Caenorhabditis elegans: one gene and its partner. The protein of the gene in region 1 purifies or fractionates together with the protein of each later gene. This does not show direct contact. Each region holds a gene or a part of one and is shown on either strand. Other genes may lie near its edges.

Region 1 (9,026 bases):
AAACTGCTGAAGGAAGCATTGAATCACGATTATGTTTTAGTGGAGAAAAAAACATTGAATTGTCAGCAGATGATAAGTTATCAGGAGCAGTATCAAAGCTATGGAATATGTCTTCATCACGAAATGAAAAATCATTTGATGCACACAAAATATCTTCATCGTCTTCTTCTGCTTCTTCTGATGCTTCCACATTTGAATATCCTTCACTGAAAAATAAATAATAATATTCCATTTGAAGGAGTAGAGGTTTTGGATTTTTTATTTGTTAAAATCTGAAATTCCGCCAAAATTGAATTAGCACTCTTTTTTGAATATTTTCAGTCGACAGACATCCAATACTGGAAATTTTTAGATTCAATTAAAAACTGCGAAACTTCAGATTTTCGCAACTTTTGGTTTTTTTTTTCAAAACTTTGGGCCACCAAAAACATTTTTTAAAGAAATTTCATTGCAGAAAACCAACAAACTATTTTTCTTCGATCTAGATTTCCTTATTATTTCCAACTTACAGACTATTGATGATAGTTCCTATATGTTCGGATTCAGTTGTATTAATGTATTCATAGTCAAATGGCAATGGAAAGAGAGCTTTCATATCTCGACGGGTTACTGTACTTTGCTTCATGGAAGATACTGGAGCTGTTGAGTAGAACGGGCTGAAATATTAAAACGTAATTTCAGAGTAATTTCATTTTTTAATCTTACCCATAACAAAGAAGACTATTGATTTTGGTTCTATATTTTTCAGTGACAACTTGAATTGCCTCATGAACATTATCATCGTGAGCAGCTGATGGTTGAAGACAGTGCTTCCACGCTTCGAACAATACTTGAACATCTTCCGATGAGTCTGAAATTAAACGAACCGCCTCGACGAGTTGTGAAGTGCGAAGGCGTGAAAGAGCAGCGACGGTTTTTCTGGAATGCCTTCGGACCGGTGAGAATTTGAAATCAAAGAAAAGAACAAACCCAGCACAAGCATCAACAATTGCTTTCCAACAATCTTTCTGACGCTTCGTGAGAGATAATTGTGAAGCAACAACTGGAGCTGATTTCATTGTCATTCCAGATTCTGTTGTAGTTGAGGCAACTGTAGATAATGTTACGATGTAAAGCTGAAAAAATGAAAAATTATTTTGAGTTTTAGAAGAAATATTGAATTTTATCACTCACTTTGACATCCAACATTGAGCATTCTGCACTTTTCATATACTCCTGTGCATTCAAAGTTGATGGAAGATTTGAGAAAAGCGATGAAAGAAATTCACTTTTCAACATTGATTTCTGAAATAAATAAAGCCACAGAAGAAGCCTCAGCGTCTGCTCATCGCCAAGATTTGATAAACTGAATTTCGATTCTGGAGTGATTATCGCGTTGAGGTCCATTTGTTCACTTGATACAATATCACGGGCAGCTCTGAAGAATGCAAGAAAATTGCAGAATTCTTTTGAAATTCTTACTCGAAAATCGAAGATTTTACGAACTGAAATCGACCGCTAGCTAACACCAAATCATCAACGATACTGTCAATGTTCTGAAAAAAAGACAGCTTATTCACTTGAAAATTAGACGAATAAATCTGAAAATATTACAAAAGCAAGGTCGATTCTGTAGTTTGTAAACTTGGCAAGATGAATTGAGCACTCTGAAATTATTTAATAATTTATTTTAATACATTTTATTTAAAATTCTCACCAATAACAACTCGATCAGCCCACTGCTGCATATGTATCTCCTCGATTTCATGTTCAGGACTCAAATCGGGAACAATCGATGAAGCGAGAAGTTGGGATAACTTGTAGAGTGTCGGTTGGTGATTTGGCTGAAATTATGAGATTTAAACAAAGAAAACTGGTTTTTATTTATTTATTTGAAGAAGTTTGAAGTTTTTTCTTCAGTGCTAACCTTTCCGAGCACACTGAGAATGTTTGCGGCGAGTTTCAGAAAAACTGAGAGAACGAGCTTCTGTAATCCGAATGTTGACTGATCTTCGGCCCGTTCGTAGAGAGAAACCAATCTGAAAAGCAAAATAAATATAAAATTAAGGCTAATTAAAAACCCACTCGTTCAGTGAATTTTGATATTGAGCCGTTGTTGGTGGATGCGATCGCAAAACTGATGAAATCTGATCATGCTCTTTTTGAAGACTTCGGAAAATTGTGGATGGAGAGAGAGTATTCTGAAAATAAAGTTAATTTTTTATTTATGTGGGCATATTAAATACCTTATCACCGAAGGATTCATTGAAACTGTCATTCGCCTTTTTGAGTGAAGCGGGAGACGAGAAAAGTGCCGAAAACGAATCGTTCAGCACCATTCTGTAATTTTTCTAAACAGTTTGAATATTTTGATTAGAAAATTCAAAAAAGAGCACAAAGAGATAATTTTTGTTTTAATTGATCAAATAAATTCACTTAGATTTTAATTTTTTAGAACTCGCAGCAGAAAAAAACTCAATTATATGTGCTATAATTACAGGTTCTCACAATTCCTTGTTTCCCTCTCAATCCGGATAATCCGCTCAGCTTCTAGCCTAGCAACCGGGACCTTCTCTTCGTTGCTACGAAAATGCTGTATCACATTCCTTCTTTTTGGATAATTACAAAGCTTCTACCCTTAGAATTTAGTGAAGTGTGAAAGTGCATAAAATCGAAAAATTATTTTTTTAATGAACTATTTCCTTTTTTTAGAGATATTCTGCTAATATGCAATTACTCAATCAATAAATATTCTGATCACGATGGCAAATCATCATGAGAGAGAGATTCTCTACATTGAAGAGAGTACGATATTTAAAGAGAATCATGAAGCATAAGGAAAAACGAAGAGACTCAGATAGTGAATAGTTTTGCGGACACCTATAGACGGTGCGCCTCTTTCGGTGACTGCATACAATACAATATTTGTTCTCTCTTTCTATTCCATTCTCCATCTCTTCCCGCACACCTTTCTTTTCCATTTTCAATCCATTCCCAATTTTTCTCTCCACTATCAGTTCGTTTCTCTGCTTCACTAGAAAGCCCTCTCACATCTCGACAGTCTATTACGGCTTCCACGTTTTGCCAGATGTTTTAGATTTAAGGGGCATCAAGATGACGCGTCATTATCTGATCTAAAACTTTATAAAAGTCTGAATAAACGATTTTTCTAATAATTTATACAATGACACGTATATTAAGAAACTTCCCTTTCAGTAACATATTTCAAAATACTTTCCTCCCGACTTTAATTTTTTAGGCTGTTTTTAAACTTGATCAACTCTATTAATAACACAGTGACATGAATTTTATATTTAAAATCCGAAAATATATCTTAATTACATGTTTTCAACTCTGCAACTTTTCGAATAGCAAACGAGACAAACAAATTTCCAAAATGTTTCGCCGTGAAAACTATTTCGAGTAATTTTAAAGTTCACGCGCTCACTATTCCACACATTCTCGACGTATTGTTTCAGATTTCCACGTTTACCGCTTTTAAAACATATATTAAAACATTTTGGAACAATTTTAAATTACAGGATTACCCAGAGAAATCGACATGTCGATTTCCGGTCTCTTCATCTTGGACCTCAAAGGAAATGTGAGTTTCACAATGATTTTTTGATAGGCAGGCGAGTTAAATATATGAATTTAGCACAGAAATAACTGTTTAGAACAAAATGAATGTTGTAAAAAAATAAAAATTCAGTAAATTTGAAGGAAAACCAACGAAAAATGAAAAAATCGAACGGAAATTTCCGGCGAAGCACTTCGTTTTTCAAAAAGTTCACTGTCGTAGTATTCTGTGCATCTGCACATTCGGCGCTTCGTTGTACGCGCAAACTTTTTTAGACAAGCACAGAAATACTGAAAAGCAGTCAAATATCAATCAAATTGAATGGAACCTCAAAACAAAACATCCTAAAAATTATTTTTAAAGGTAGTAATATCGAGGAATTACCGCGGAGATGTGGATATGTCGTGTATCGAAAAGTTTATGCCACTGTTGGTTGAAAAGGAAGACGAAGGAAGTGCATCTCCAGTATTAGTGCATCAAGGAATTAGTTATACATATATTAAATATATGAATGTTTACTGTAAGTTTCAACTTTTGAAAAAATAATCCTACACAAAGATTAAAATAAAAGATTTTCAGTGGTGACGATTTCGAAGAAAAACACGAATGTGATTCTTGTATTGTCGGCTCTTTACAAAATTGTCGAGGTTTTCTGCGAATATTTCAAAACATTGGAGGAAGAAGCTGTTCGCGATAATTTCGTTATTATTTATGAACTTTTCGACGAAATGCTCGATTTTGGATATCCACAGACAACGGAGAGCAAGATTCTTCAAGAGTGAGTTATTAAAAAAGCGATGAAGAGGCGCCTAAAGGATTTTAGGATCTAGATGAAGTACCTACACCTAGATTTCATTCACAACTATTTTAAAATTTCAGATTCATAACACAACAAGGTAATCGTTTGGAGACAGTTCGTCCACCCATGGCAGTCACAAACGCGGTTTCATGGAGATCAGAAGGGATCAAATATCGGAAAAATGAAGTTTTTCTCGATGTTATTGAAAGTGTTAATATGCTGGTGAGCTGTTAATATTTTTATAGTTATACTTCCGAAACAAAGTCCCGTTTTAAAAAGCCTAATAACCAAATTTCTAGGCAAATGCTCAAGGAACCGTACTCCGTTCAGAAATCGTTGGTTCAATTCGATTCCGTGTTGTTCTTTCTGGAATGCCGGAACTTCGACTTGGACTTAATGACAAGGTGTTCTTCCAGCAATCTGGTGCAAGTTCTAGTAAGTGTTGAAATTGTAAAATAGTATCAAATATTGAATTGTAGGACGTGGTAACAGTGGAAAAGGAGTCGAATTGGAAGATATCAAATTCCATCAATGTGTCCGTTTATCTCGCTTTGATTCCGAAAGAACCATTTCTTTTATTCCACCGGATGGAGAATTTGAGCTGATGAGTTATCGATTGACAACACAAGTTAAACCATTGATTTGGGTTGAGGCTGCAGTTGAGAGACATGCACATTCAAGAGTTGAATATATGGTTAAAGTGATTACTTTCACTTCCAAATTATGAATTATAGAATCTCTACTTTCCAGGCGAAATCTCAATTCAAACGTCAATCTGTTGCCAATCATGTCGAAGTTATTATCCCTGTTCCATCCGACGTCAGTGCTCCAAAATTTAAAACTGGAGCAGGTACAGCAAAATATGTTCCAGAGCTTAATGCTATTGTTTGGAGTATTCGAAGCTTCCCAGGTGAGCATCAAGTCAGAAATATTTTCAAATAGTTTACTATAGTTTTAAATATTTTATTGAAAACTTTAACTTTGATGCTTCAGTCAGCTCAATAGAAATGTTATGCATATTTGTTGGAAAACTGTTCAATACAGAAAAAAAATTCTGTCCGAAATTTTTTTTTTCTATATTATCTTTACCTTTGGTATAGTTATCTTAACTTTTAATAACATTGTTGAATTGTTCCAGGAGGCCGTGAATATATAATGAGATCTTCGTTCATGCTCCCATCAATTGGCTCCGAAGAGCTGGAAGGCCGTCCGCCAATCAATGTTAAATTTGAAATTCCTTACTACACAACTTCCGGACTACAAGTAAGTCGTTAACTCTAGTTTCAATTATTCAACATATTCTTCCAGGTTCGATATTTAAAAATCATAGAGAAATCTGGATATCAAGCACTTCCATGGGTACGATATGTTACTCAAAACGGAGATTATCAAATGAGAATGACCTAATAAGAAGCTTTCTGTTCCCAATATCCTTCAAGCCACCTTCAAGCCAAAACAGTCATCCCTGTAATTTTTGTTCTATTCAATTCCCCCGCCATTCGGTCCCTTGGGTGCCTTATATTTTTTTTTTAATGTTTAATTTTATTCCGAGAGAGAAAAAAACTAGTAATTTATTAACTGTGATATTGTCTTTTGTTGCTCTTTTCAACGCTTTTCATCCCCTGGTTTCTTGTATCTTTCCTTTTTTTTGTTCGTTTTTCAGAGTTATTTATTGAATTCGGAGTTAAATATAAACAAAGTTTCCGATAAGAACTTGAGTTTTTAAAGTTAAAGTCTATGTTACAAGGCCAAGGATTACAAAATCCTTCATTTCCAGTTTCAGGTATGCATTGAAGTTTCAACTTCAAATGAAAAAGAGCGGCCGTTTCATCAACAAATTAAAAAAAATTGAACTTCATTTGTACTCTCCACATCAAAAATTAAACCAATTAATCAAAAGTTTGTACTTTTTATAGGCAAATATGTACACTGAGTCCATTGATAATTTGGTGGATACGGTGGACAATCACAGTAGTAACGAGCCGTTGGGCCGACGTAATCAACGAATTGAGCAACTGAAAATTGTATGGGTTAACTGAAATTGTGTAGCATTTAATCTAACCTCTACAGTATCCTTGAGGCTGATAACCATATCCACCTCCTCCGCCATATCCACCACGCCTCCCAAATCCGAAAAGTAGACCCAGGAGTCCTGGACCGCGTGGTCGTCCCCAGCCGCTAAAATTTAGAATTTTTTTTTTGATTTTTTGGATGATCTAAAAACGGAAACATAAATGCATATTGCAAATTTTTACATCAAAGTTAAAGATTCAACGCCGTCGAAGTTCATCTGAAAGTATCTTCTAGAAAAAAATAGCTCACCCATAGTAATTATTTCTGTTATAATACGTTGGATGCCAACTAGAACCGGAGCTTTCATGACTATGCGAGTTATGCCATCCACTACCTCCTCTTCCACCTCCCCATCCACCTCTTCCACGTCCTTCACCCCATCCTCCACGTCCTCCACCTCGCCCGCCTCCCCAGCCGCCTCCGCGGCCTCCGCCACCGCGACCGCCACCTCCACCTCTTCCGCCGCCACCTCGACCACCACCACCTCGGCTCCCGCCGCCACCACGACCACCGCCTCGTTGAGCATCAGATTCAACTGAAAAAAAAAAGAATTCCTTGAGAGTTTTGGTTTGTGAGAAAAGACTGACATTGGGCTTAAGGCCCTGGCTGGCATATAAAGAAATCTAACTACTGTAGCCCTACAGTTCGGTAAGGAACACCGAGAGAAAATCAAAACATACAAAAAAACGTTCGAAAGTTACTCCAAACGGTTTTAAAAACTTAAATGCTAGAGTAAATAGCGATTCTTATAAAGTAATTGCCCTAGGAGTTTCAAAACTGCGAAATTTTTTATGTTGAAAAAAAAAAATTCAATCAGATATAATATATAAACCTCAAAAACCGAATTCGTTCAAGCTACACTTACCAACAAAATAGGCTAAACAATTAAGAAGCATACATAATAAAATACTCCTACGCATGGTCTTTTGATCTAGTTTTTCACAATGGTCAGTCAACTTTTATAGGGTAGCTGCGATGTATTGATTTGACGAATTCCCGCGAGGAACTTAATTTTCTGATTTAGCGAAAACCAAACCATTTGGTCATCTCTCTAGGCTTGTTTTTAGATGAGTGATCAAATCAGATAGAGAAGAATGCGGTATAGTTTGATCTTGACCGCCTATTGTCGGAAGATTTTTGAATTGAAAAAAATTTAATTAAGTTTTGATAGAAAAGGTTCAACTTTTCAATTTTCGTTTAGGTCGAAATGTTATTTCTGTTGTAGTTTTGATTTAGTGTTGAGAGATAACTGTTGAAAACAGAAAATTATTAAAGTTTATTCAAAATTCCTACCAAATATCCTTGAGTTTTCCAATAACTTTCTTATTACTCGACTTGGGAAACTCTGGGCGTGGTTGGCAAGAGTTGGGGAAGAAGCTGCAATATAAATAAATAACTGAATGAGTTTTTCTTCAATAATCGGCTCAATAGAATTAAAGCAACAGTTTGAAGATATTTTCAGAAAATTTTCAAAAATATCTCTGGCATAGTTTTTTCTAGGCTATTTGCGTTTAAACGATTTGTACAAGGATACTTTTGTGAAGTTCAATAGGAAAAGGTTTATTGTTACTTCATTCTAGTTATATCTGCATTCTTCAATTAGAATCAATTTTTTAAAATCATTTCTTTCCGTAGTAACCAGACATTGGAGAACACTGATTCCATTGATAATTTGGTGCATATGGCGGGCAATCACAGTAGTAACGAGGCGTTGAGCCAACATAATCCACAAATTGTGCAACTGAAACTTTTAAAATTGAATGGGAAACTAAAATATTCAATTGTCTAACCTCTACAGTAACTTTGACCTTGGTTATAGTTGTAATATCCTCTATTTCCTCCATAATAGTTATTTCCATTGTAATATTGGTTGTAGTAGCCGTTGCCACCATATCCTCCATTATATTGATTGTAATAGCCATTACCATATCCATTACCGTAACCATTACCGTAGTATCCATTACCATAATATCCATTATTGTATCCATTACCGTAGTACCCATTACCGTAAACATTGTTATATCCTATTTGTTGTCTATTTCCAAAAAGTAATCCAAGAACTCCTGCGGCACGTGCTCTTCCTCGGACGCTGAATATCGGATATATGAAGAAAGTTTTTGACATTTTCAGTACGAAAAAAGAGCTAGGAATAACAAACTCACACAGTTCTATTTTTGGATTGATTAGATACTGGTTGGAGCGAAGATACAGAAATTCCTTTTCGATTTGCGTTATACCCGTTACCACGTACATGTGTAACTTTAACATTGTTATACTGAATATTGCCATCCTCTTGCAAAGCATTAAGTTCAACTGGAAATAACTTGTTACGTGCTCCTCCAAATGAATTCCGTAAACTCCCAGAAACCCTAGTATCCCTAAAGAAAGAATAGAACTAAACTGGCCCCTGTTCTGTAATATCTGACAAGGAAAGAAAGTTAAAGAAACTTTGAGGCTTCAAAACGAAAAGCAAATTGATTGAAAGCTAAGACTTGTTCACCACAAAAATTATAGCGGCGGAACTAAACTCTGAACCCCTGAAATAGAGATCCGAAATATTTTTTTCGGTGCATTTTTATCCACGAATTTTTTTTT
Region 2 (8,683 bases), 9.1 Mb from region 1:
TTAAGATTTTCTGAAAAAAAAAATTTGGCGGGAATTCGAATTTTCAGTCAATTTTGGCGGGAAATTCAAATTTTTTGGGAAAACCCAGTTTTGGGCGAGAAATTCAAATTTTCCGAGGGAAACAATTTTTGGCGGAAATTCAAATTTTCTAAAAAAAAAAAAACAATTTCGGCGGAAAATTAAAATTTTAATTTTTGATGAAATTTAAATTTTCTGAAAAAAAAACATTTTGGCGGAAAATTCAAAATTTCTGAGAGAACCAATTTGACGGGAATTCAAATTTTCTGAGATCATTTTCTGAGATCTGAGATTTGGCGGTAATTTAAAATATTTGAGAAATTTTCAGTCAATTTTCGTTACGAAAATTCAAATTTTTATTTTCCAAATTTACATTCAAATTTTTTTTTTCACCTTAAAACATTTTGAATAACTTTTTTCAAAAATTTTTAAAACAATATTCAATAACTAAAAATCGAACTTTTCTCTCCGAAGCATAAAGCTTTAATCCATCAGGAGAGAAATGTAGATTCGTGTATCCTTTCAGTGATCCTTCAATCGTCGATACAGCATTTCTCCATTTTAATGAATAAATTGCAACTAGAGATGAACTTCCACCAGCTGCAAATAGGTCAGGCATTGTTGGATGTGGAGTTATCGACATTGGAAGTCCCGTTGTTCCTGTGTTGTCTGGAAATTATATTATTGATTTTTTTAAAATTTTCTTGTATTTTAAAAGTTTCGTTATCACGTACTTATTATTACGGGAACACTGAATTCTGAGAATGCGTACGGGACAACACATTTGACGTGCAAATAGGTTTGGGGTTAGTGGTGGGATATGGTCGGGGTACTGTAGGAGTACTGTAGGAGTACTGTAGGATTACTGTAGTTTAGGAAGAATTGAGTTTTTGTCTTTTGAAGAGATATAGGTTTGCGGTTAGTGGTGGGATATGGTCGGGGTACTGTAGTAGTACTGTAGGAGTACTGTAAGAGTACTATAGGATTACTGTAGTTTGGGAAAAATTGACTTTCCGTCTTCGGAAGGGAAATTGGAAACTTCGGGAAAATTCTGAAATGTTCCAGAACCTTCTGGGAATCCTTCTGGGAATTTCTGGAAAATTCTAGAATGTTCCAGAACCTTCTGGAAAATTCTGAAAAGCTTTAGAACCTTCTGGAAAACTCTAGAATGTTCCAGAACTTTCTAGAAAAATCGAGAAAATTCTGGAATGTTCCAGAACTTTCTAGAAAAATCGAGAAAATTCTGGAGTGACCCTTCGTGGTGAAACCCATCGTGGCGAGACCCATCGAGGTGAGACCCATCGTGGTGAGACCCGTCGTGGTGAGACCCACCGTGGTAAGACCCAAAATTTTGGCGGGAAATTTAAATTTTCTGCGAAAAATGTTTTAGCGGGAAATTTAAATTTTCTGAAAAAAATATTTTGGAGGGAAATTTAAATTTTCTGAAAAAATATTTTGGAGGGAAATTTAAATTTTCTGTGAAAAATATTTTGGCGGGTAATTTAAATTTTCGGAGAAAAAAATTTTGGAGGGAAATTTAAATTTTCTGAGAAAAATATTTTGGCGGGAAATTTAAATTTTCTCAAAATTCTAAAATTCTGGAAATCTAGAATCTTCTAGAAATTTCGAAAAAATTCTGGAATGTTCCAGAACTTTCTAGAAAAATCGAGAAAATTCTGGAAGTGTATGTGTGTCAAATACTTTTAATGGTGCCAGTCGTTGCCCGCGCCGTAGGCGCGGTCAGCGGCTGGTTATATATATATATATATATATAACCATCATCGAGCCCGTAGATCGAGATAATCGCTACAGTACCTATTTAAAGAATTACTGTAGTTTTCGCTACGAGATATATAGATATGTCAAATATGTTGTCCCATACGCATTCTCAGAATTTTCAGTTTCTGTAATACTTACGTCACAATAATTTTTCAGGCAAAAAATTTGTAAAACTCTGGAAAATCCTATTTTAGATAAAATTTCTTTGCTCACAATCATTATCAAATGACTTGATATGTTGAATAGCGTCGCCTGTATATTCGATATCCCAGATTTGAAATTTGTTCTTGAATCCGCCTATCAATGAGCTTCCACTTTGTCCGATGCTCATCGCCGCAGTGATATTGTCCTGCAAATATATTGAATTTTTTGTTTAATTTGGTGAAAATACGGGAAATTTTGACTTAAAAATCACTAAAAACGGTTGAAAATCGATTTTGGGTGAGGCTTAGACTACAAACTACAACTTTTTTAGCCTCAACCAGAATTGGTTGAGGCTCAGAAAATTGTAGTTTGTAGTCTAACTTTTATTGATTGTTTTTTATATAAATTTTAAGGGAAATTTTTTTAAAATGTTAAATTCTGAAACTTATCAAATTTGCAGAAAAACGACTATACTACAAACTACAAAATGGTTGAGGCTCAAAAAGTTGTAGTTTGTAGTCTCGAAATGAATTAATAGGCGAAGATTTTAATTTTTCGTGGTTTTTCGAGTTTTTGGCACAAATTTGATTAAAAAGCAGCTTTAATTTGAAAAAAAGTGAAACATTTCTTTTAGAGACTACAAACTACAACTTTTTCAGCCTCACCCAATATTGGTTGAGGCTCAGAAAATTGTAGTTTGTAGTCTGAGCCTCAATCAATGCATTTTTGTTTAAAAAATTAGCAATTTTCAGTTATTTTTAGAGGTTTTTGGCACAAATTTGATTAAAAAACAGATTTTAATTGAAAAAAAAGTGAAAAATTACTTTTAAAGACTACAAACTACAACTATTTTTAGCCTCACCCAATATTGGTTGGGGCTCAGAAAATTGTAGTTTGTAGTCTCTGAGCCTCAACCAATTTTTTTTGGATTTTTATGTAAAAATGTCAATTTTTAAGCATTTTTTTTTCGTTTTTTTTTTTGCAAAAAAAAAAACCAACCCCAGCATCTTTTCCATTATAAGCACCGAGAATACTTCCATTTTCCGTATCAAATAGCTGAATTGGACGCAGTTTTGACGACGAGAACACCCCTTTTCCAGAGTTTTCCCAACAAGAATCCAGCACCAAATTTCCCGTATTATGCTTCCATATCACTTCTGGCTGCAATTTTTAGCGTTATTTTACAGAAATTTTGGAAGAAAAACCGACAGTTTCATCTATTTTATACATTCTTATAAATCTATCCTGTGAAGCCACAAGAGCCCGGTTTCCCTGTTCATTTTGAATGGAAAAGTGCACAAAATTATTATTTTCCGTTGATTTATAGCCGAATTGAGCGTTGTACGAGTTGAAAGTGGCTTTATCGCTGAAAATTTCAGATTTTTTGACTTAAAATTCGAATTTTCAGATACCAAAATGTATTTTTAAGATTTGTGGGGATTTCGGCGATTTCTACAGGTTCTTGAGCTTTTTTCTTGACTTCTTGGTCAATTTCCTGCATTCTCTGGAGTTTTCGCTTCTCTTTTCGATTTAATGGGCGGTTTTCTGGGATTTCTTCGGGAATTTCTTCTGAAGCAGCAGCCTCTGTGGTCGATAGCTCATCGATTTTCGACGCAAGATGGTCACTGCGGAGCTAAAAAGCAAGCGGTTTTTCTTTGGAAAACAAGTGAAATTTAATTACCGAAGACAAAAGCGACGCTATCCCGCATCTTTCAGCGCGGAGAGACGGTTTTTTCTCCTCCAATTCTTGTGAGGACGACGATTCTTCGGTGTTCATCTGGAAAAAATCGATTTTTTTGGCGAAAAGTTCAAGTTTCAGTGATTTTTAATCGAAAAATTGAAAAAAGAAAAAAAACAAAAATTAAATTCCCCCTACTACGGTCTGCAATCGGGTACCTCCACACCAGACCTCACGCGCAATTGCGGACTCGCCCCCTGCGTTGGATTGTAAAATGCAAAAAATCAATAAAATTGCAGTGTTGTCACTGATTTTTCAGCTTTTTCTAGTGGATTTTCGTGATTTTTTGATTAAAAAATTCATTTTTTCACTAATAAGCGTCGTTTATTTCACTTATTCCACTTACTTTCACTGCTGAGCTGTAAAAAAAACTAAAAAACTCCAAAAAAAACGTCAAAAAATGAGGAATTTTTGCAGGGTGAGGCTCCAAGGATGGCGACGGCTGTCGAGCTAGCCATTGAGAAGATCGATGAGTATAAGTCGAAGATTGGAAGGTTTGTAACATTAAAAAACTCAAATTTTTGCGAAATTTCCCCAGTAAATTCTATTTTTTCAGAACTCTCGGCACTCCGATGCGGCTTCGAGACCTAATTCGGCAGGTCAGAGCGGCACGAACGATGGCTGAAGAGCGAGCAGTGGTGGATAGAGAAAGTGCGAATATTCGAGAAAGCTTCCGAGACGATGATTCTCCGTGGAAATGTAGAAATATCGCGAAATTGCTCTATATTCATATGCTCGGCTACCCAGCGCATTTTGGACAGGTTATTGAACCGTTTTTCGCCGGAAATTAAATTATTTGTTATTCAGATGGAGTGCATGAAACTGGTGGCTCACCCCCGATTCACTGACAAACGAATTGGGTATCTTGGAGCTATGCTTCTTCTCGATGAACGATCGGAAGTTCATATGCTCGTCACTAATTCGCTTAAAAAGTTAGCAAAAACCCATGAAAATGAAAAAATCTTGTTTAAAAGCTTTTTTTCTGCGATTTTTCTCATCAAAATTTGATTTTTTGAAGAAAAAGCAATTTTTAAAGGATTTTCAATGCAAAAATGAGATTTTACAGTAAAAAATGCTATAGAAAACAAAAAAATCCGAAGAATTATTATTTTGGTTGAGGCGTAGACTACAAACTACAACTTTTTTAGCCTCAACCAGCAGCTTTGGGGAGGCTGACAAAAGTTGTAGTTTGTAGCCTAAGCCTCAACCAAGATTTTTAACTTGATTTTGCTCATTTTTAGTGATTTTTCATCAATTTTTACTATTTTTCGAGCTAAAATTAGTGAATTTGGTTCTAAAAACTGGAATTTTTGCTTTAAAATTCACGATTTTGCTAGAAATCCAAATATAAAACGATTTCTTCCAACTTTGGTGAGGCTGACAGAAAGTTGTAGTTTGTAGTCTTAGCCTCAACTAATATTTTGCTCATTTTCAATGTTTTTCATCGAATTTTCACTATTTTTCGACGAAATAATAGAGAAATTGGTTGTAAAATCCGGAAATTGAGCAAAAAAGGTGAAAATTTTGCTAAAAATCCAAATTTTAAACGATTTGTTTTCCAATTTGGTGAGGCTGACAGAAGTTGTAGTTTGTAGCCTGAGCCTCAACTAATATTTTGCTCATTTTCAATGTTTTTCATCGAATTTTCACTATTTTTCGATACAATAAAAGCAAAAAATCCCAATTTCCGCGGAAAACTCTATTTTTTAAAACTAAATTCTTCATTTCCAGCGACCTCACCTGTTCCACCCAATTCGTCAGCGGACTAGCTCTCTGCACTCTGGGCTCAATTTGCTCAGCGGAAATGTGTCGAGACCTGGCCAACGAGGTTGAGAAGATCATCAAGCAGAACAATGCGTATTTAAAGAAAAAAGCGGCGCTCTGTGCGTTCCGTATCGTTCGAAAAGTGCCGGAGCTGATGGAAGTCTTCATTCCATGTACCCGATCGCTTCTGGGAGAGAAAAATCACGGAGTTTTGATGGGCGCAACGACTTTGGTCACAGAAATGTGCGAGAAATCTCCGGATGTCTTGAATCATTTTAAGAAATTGGTGCCGAATTTGGTACGGATTCTAAAGAATCTTCTAATGAGTGGATATTCGCCGGAACACGACGTCACCGGCATCTCTGACCCGTTCCTTCAGGTCAAAATTCTGAGATTATTGAGAGTTTTGGGGAAGGATGACGTACGTGTCACTGAAGAGATGAATGATATTCTGGCGCAAGTGGCAACGAATACGGAAACGGCGAAAAATGTCGGAAACGCGATTCTCTATGAGACTGTACTCACGATTATGGAGATTAAGAGCGAGAGTGGCCTGCGCATTTTGGCTGTGAACATTCTTGGACGATTCCTTTTGAATACGGATAAGAATATTCGATATGTGGCGTTGAATACGCTTCTGAAGACTGTTCATGTTGATTATCAGGTTGGATTTTGTGGAAAAAAAAAAAAGGAAAAAATGGCGATTTTGGCTCAAAAATTGAGGTTTTGGCGGTGGGTTGAGGCTGAAAAAGTGTGTAGTTTGTAGTGTGAGAGCCTCAACTAAATTTATTTCATTTTATTTCTGTTGTTAATTTTAATAGAATTTTTTAAAAAATTATTCTGATGAGTTTTCAAAATGAAAATCGCATGTTTTAGTAAAAATTGTCGAGAAAAACAAGTTTTTCAACGAATTTTCGAATTTTGTAGCTTGGTTGAGGCTCACACACTACAAACTACACTTTTTCTAGCCTCAACCAAATTTGGGGAGGCTGTGGAGTTGTAGTTTGTATTGTGAGCCTCACTCAATTTCAGTTCATTTTTTGTTTATTTTAACAGAATTTTGAAAATTCAGTTTTCAACATGAAAATCGCCTAAAACTTGTCCGGAAAACCAAGTTTTTTGACAAATTTGCAGCTTGGTTGAGGCTCACGCACTACAAACTACACTTTTTCTAGCCTCAACCAGATTTGATGAGGCTGTGGAGTTGTAGTTTGTAGTGTGAGCCTCAACCAAATTTATTTTTAGTTTTCTATTCCGTTTTCGACGTGAAACTTAGCTTTTTAGTAAAATTTTGCCTAAAAAATCAGTTTTTCAATAAATTATTCCATTTTGCAGCTCAAACTGTGTAAATAATAATTGGTTGAGGCTTACACTACAAACTACACTTTTTCTAGCCTCAACCAAGTTTTTAGAGGCTGTGGAGTTGTAGTTTGTAGTGGGAGCCTCATTCAATTTCATTTTTTTCCGTTTTGAACGTGAAACTTAGCTTTTTTAGTACAATTTTCCCCCCAAAAAAACCCAGTTTTTCATAAAATTTCATATTTTGCAGGCCAAACTGTCCAAGTGATAATTGGTTGAGGCTCACGCACTGCAAACTACACTTTTTCTAGCCTCAACCAAGTTTGGGGAGGCTGAAGAAATGTGTAGTTTGTAGTGTGAGCCTCAACCAATTTCAGTTCATTTTCTGTTTATTTTATTAAAATTTTTCCGTTTAATACAAAATTTTCAATTTTATGATGAGTTTTCCACATGGAAATCACCTAATTTAATGAAAATTGTCCGGAAAATCAAGTTTTTCAACGAATTTTTGAATTTTGTAGCTTGATTGAGGCTCACGCACTACAAACTACACTTTTTCTAGCCTCAACCAGATTTGATGAGGCTGTGGAGTTGTAGTTTGTAGTGTGAGCCTCACTCAATTTTTTATATTAAGAATTTTTGGAAACTTTAAATTCCTTTTTTAAATTCAAATTTTACGTTTTCTATCGAGCTTTAACAATAAATTTTTTTTAGTTTATAGACTACAAACTACACATTTTATAGCCTCAACCATTTTTTAAAAAGAAATTTCTAATCAGTTTTAACCTAAAAATATATAATTTTCTCCCGAGTTTTTTTTGTTAATTTCAATGTTTTTTTCAGGCCGTACAACGTCACCGTAACGTAGTCGTTGAATGTCTCAAAGATCCGGATATTTCGATCAGAAAACGTGCAATGGAGCTCTGCTTTGCTCTGATGAACCGTACAAATATCGCAATAATGACGAAAGAAGTGCTCATTTTCCTCGAGACCGCCGACGCTGAATTCAAATCGGAATGTGCTTCACGAATGTATATTGCAACGGAAAGATATTCGCCGAATCATGAATGGCATTTGGATACGATGATTACTGTACTTAGATTGGTACGGTAGTTTTTTTGGATAAATTTCCTTGAAAAAATGGATAAAATTGGCGAAATTTGGCTCTAAAAGTCCAAAAAACTAGAAATCTCACGAAAAATCGAAGCAGACTACAAACTACAATATTTTGGGCCTCAACCAGAATTGGTTGAGGCTCAGAAAATTGTAGTTTGTAGTCTAACTTTTATTGATTGTCTTTTATATAAATTTTACGGGAAATTTTTTTTAAATGTTAAATTCCGAAACTTATCAAATTTGCAGAAAAACGACTATACTACAAACTACAAAATGGTTGAGGCTCAAAAAGTTGTAGTTTGTAGTCTCTCGAAATGAATTAATAGGCGAAAATTTTGATTTTTCGTGGTTTTTCGAGTTTTTAATTGTAAAAATGAGGAAAATTATCCGATATTGTAGAAAAAATCGAATAATTTTTAGATTTTCCTGACCTTTTTGAAATTAAAACTTCATATCCGAAAAATGAGAAAAAAATCAATTTTGGTTGAGGCTAGTGGCTACAAACTACAATTTTGCAAAGCTAGAATTACGGAAATTTGTCCCAAATCATTTTTTTTTTTGAATTAATTTTGAATTCTTCCCGCGCAAATTAAACACACAATACGTATTTTATGACTTTTTTCCTTTAAAAAATTGAAAAAAAATGCCGACATAAATTGGGTGAGGCTCACACTACAAACTACAAAAACGCTGAGCCTCAACCAATTTTTTTGTAAATTTTTAAATGCCGCATTTTTGTGTTTTTTTTTTTGCTTTCTTTAATAATATGTCTTTGAAATCAAAATAAATTTGTAAATCCCGAAAATTTAGAAAAAATTGCTGAAA

The links.
Region 2: the proteins of apm-1 (region 1) and apg-1 fractionate together in Caenorhabditis elegans (co-fractionation; one large-scale study listed by BioGRID). This does not show direct contact.

Annotation. Positions count from the first base shown.
Region 1 is NC_003279.8:5,339,220-5,348,245, reverse strand, and holds apm-1 (MHD domain-containing protein), read left to right. Parts: upstream 1-3,521; 5' UTR 3,522-3,541; coding exon 3,542-3,583; intron 3,584-3,591; exon of another isoform or gene 3,592-3,813; intron 3,814-3,922; coding exon 3,923-4,079; intron 4,080-4,138; coding exon 4,139-4,337; intron 4,338-4,438; coding exon 4,439-4,580; intron 4,581-4,657; coding exon 4,658-4,793; intron 4,794-4,837; coding exon 4,838-5,058; intron 5,059-5,108; coding exon 5,109-5,268; intron 5,269-5,496; coding exon 5,497-5,621; intron 5,622-5,666; coding exon 5,667-5,765; 3' UTR 5,766-6,066; downstream 6,067-9,026. Other genes in the region: F55A12.5 (Telomere_reg-2 domain-containing protein), read right to left, coding at 1-206, 510-656, 706-927, 970-1,115, 1,174-1,417, 1,462-1,535, 1,594-1,646, 1,697-1,823 and 3 more; F55A12.18 (Glycine-rich protein DOT1-like), read right to left, coding at 6,252-6,373, 6,421-6,536, 6,681-6,966, 7,297-7,351; F55A12.6 (Prion-like-(Q/N-rich)-domain-bearing protein), read right to left, coding at 8,051-8,172, 8,222-8,520, 8,594-8,744.
Region 2 is NC_003279.8:14,401,932-14,410,614, forward strand, and holds the start of apg-1 (AP-1 complex subunit gamma), read left to right. Parts: upstream 1-4,096; 5' UTR 4,097-4,111; coding exon 4,112-4,173; intron 4,174-4,235; coding exon 4,236-4,440; intron 4,441-4,486; coding exon 4,487-4,611; intron 4,612-5,410; coding exon 5,411-6,107; intron 6,108-7,585; coding exon 7,586-7,846; intron 7,847-8,683. Other genes in the region: tcab-1 (WD_REPEATS_REGION domain-containing protein), read right to left, coding at 479-687, 2,011-2,146, 2,941-3,102, 3,151-3,307, 3,354-3,574, 3,623-3,718.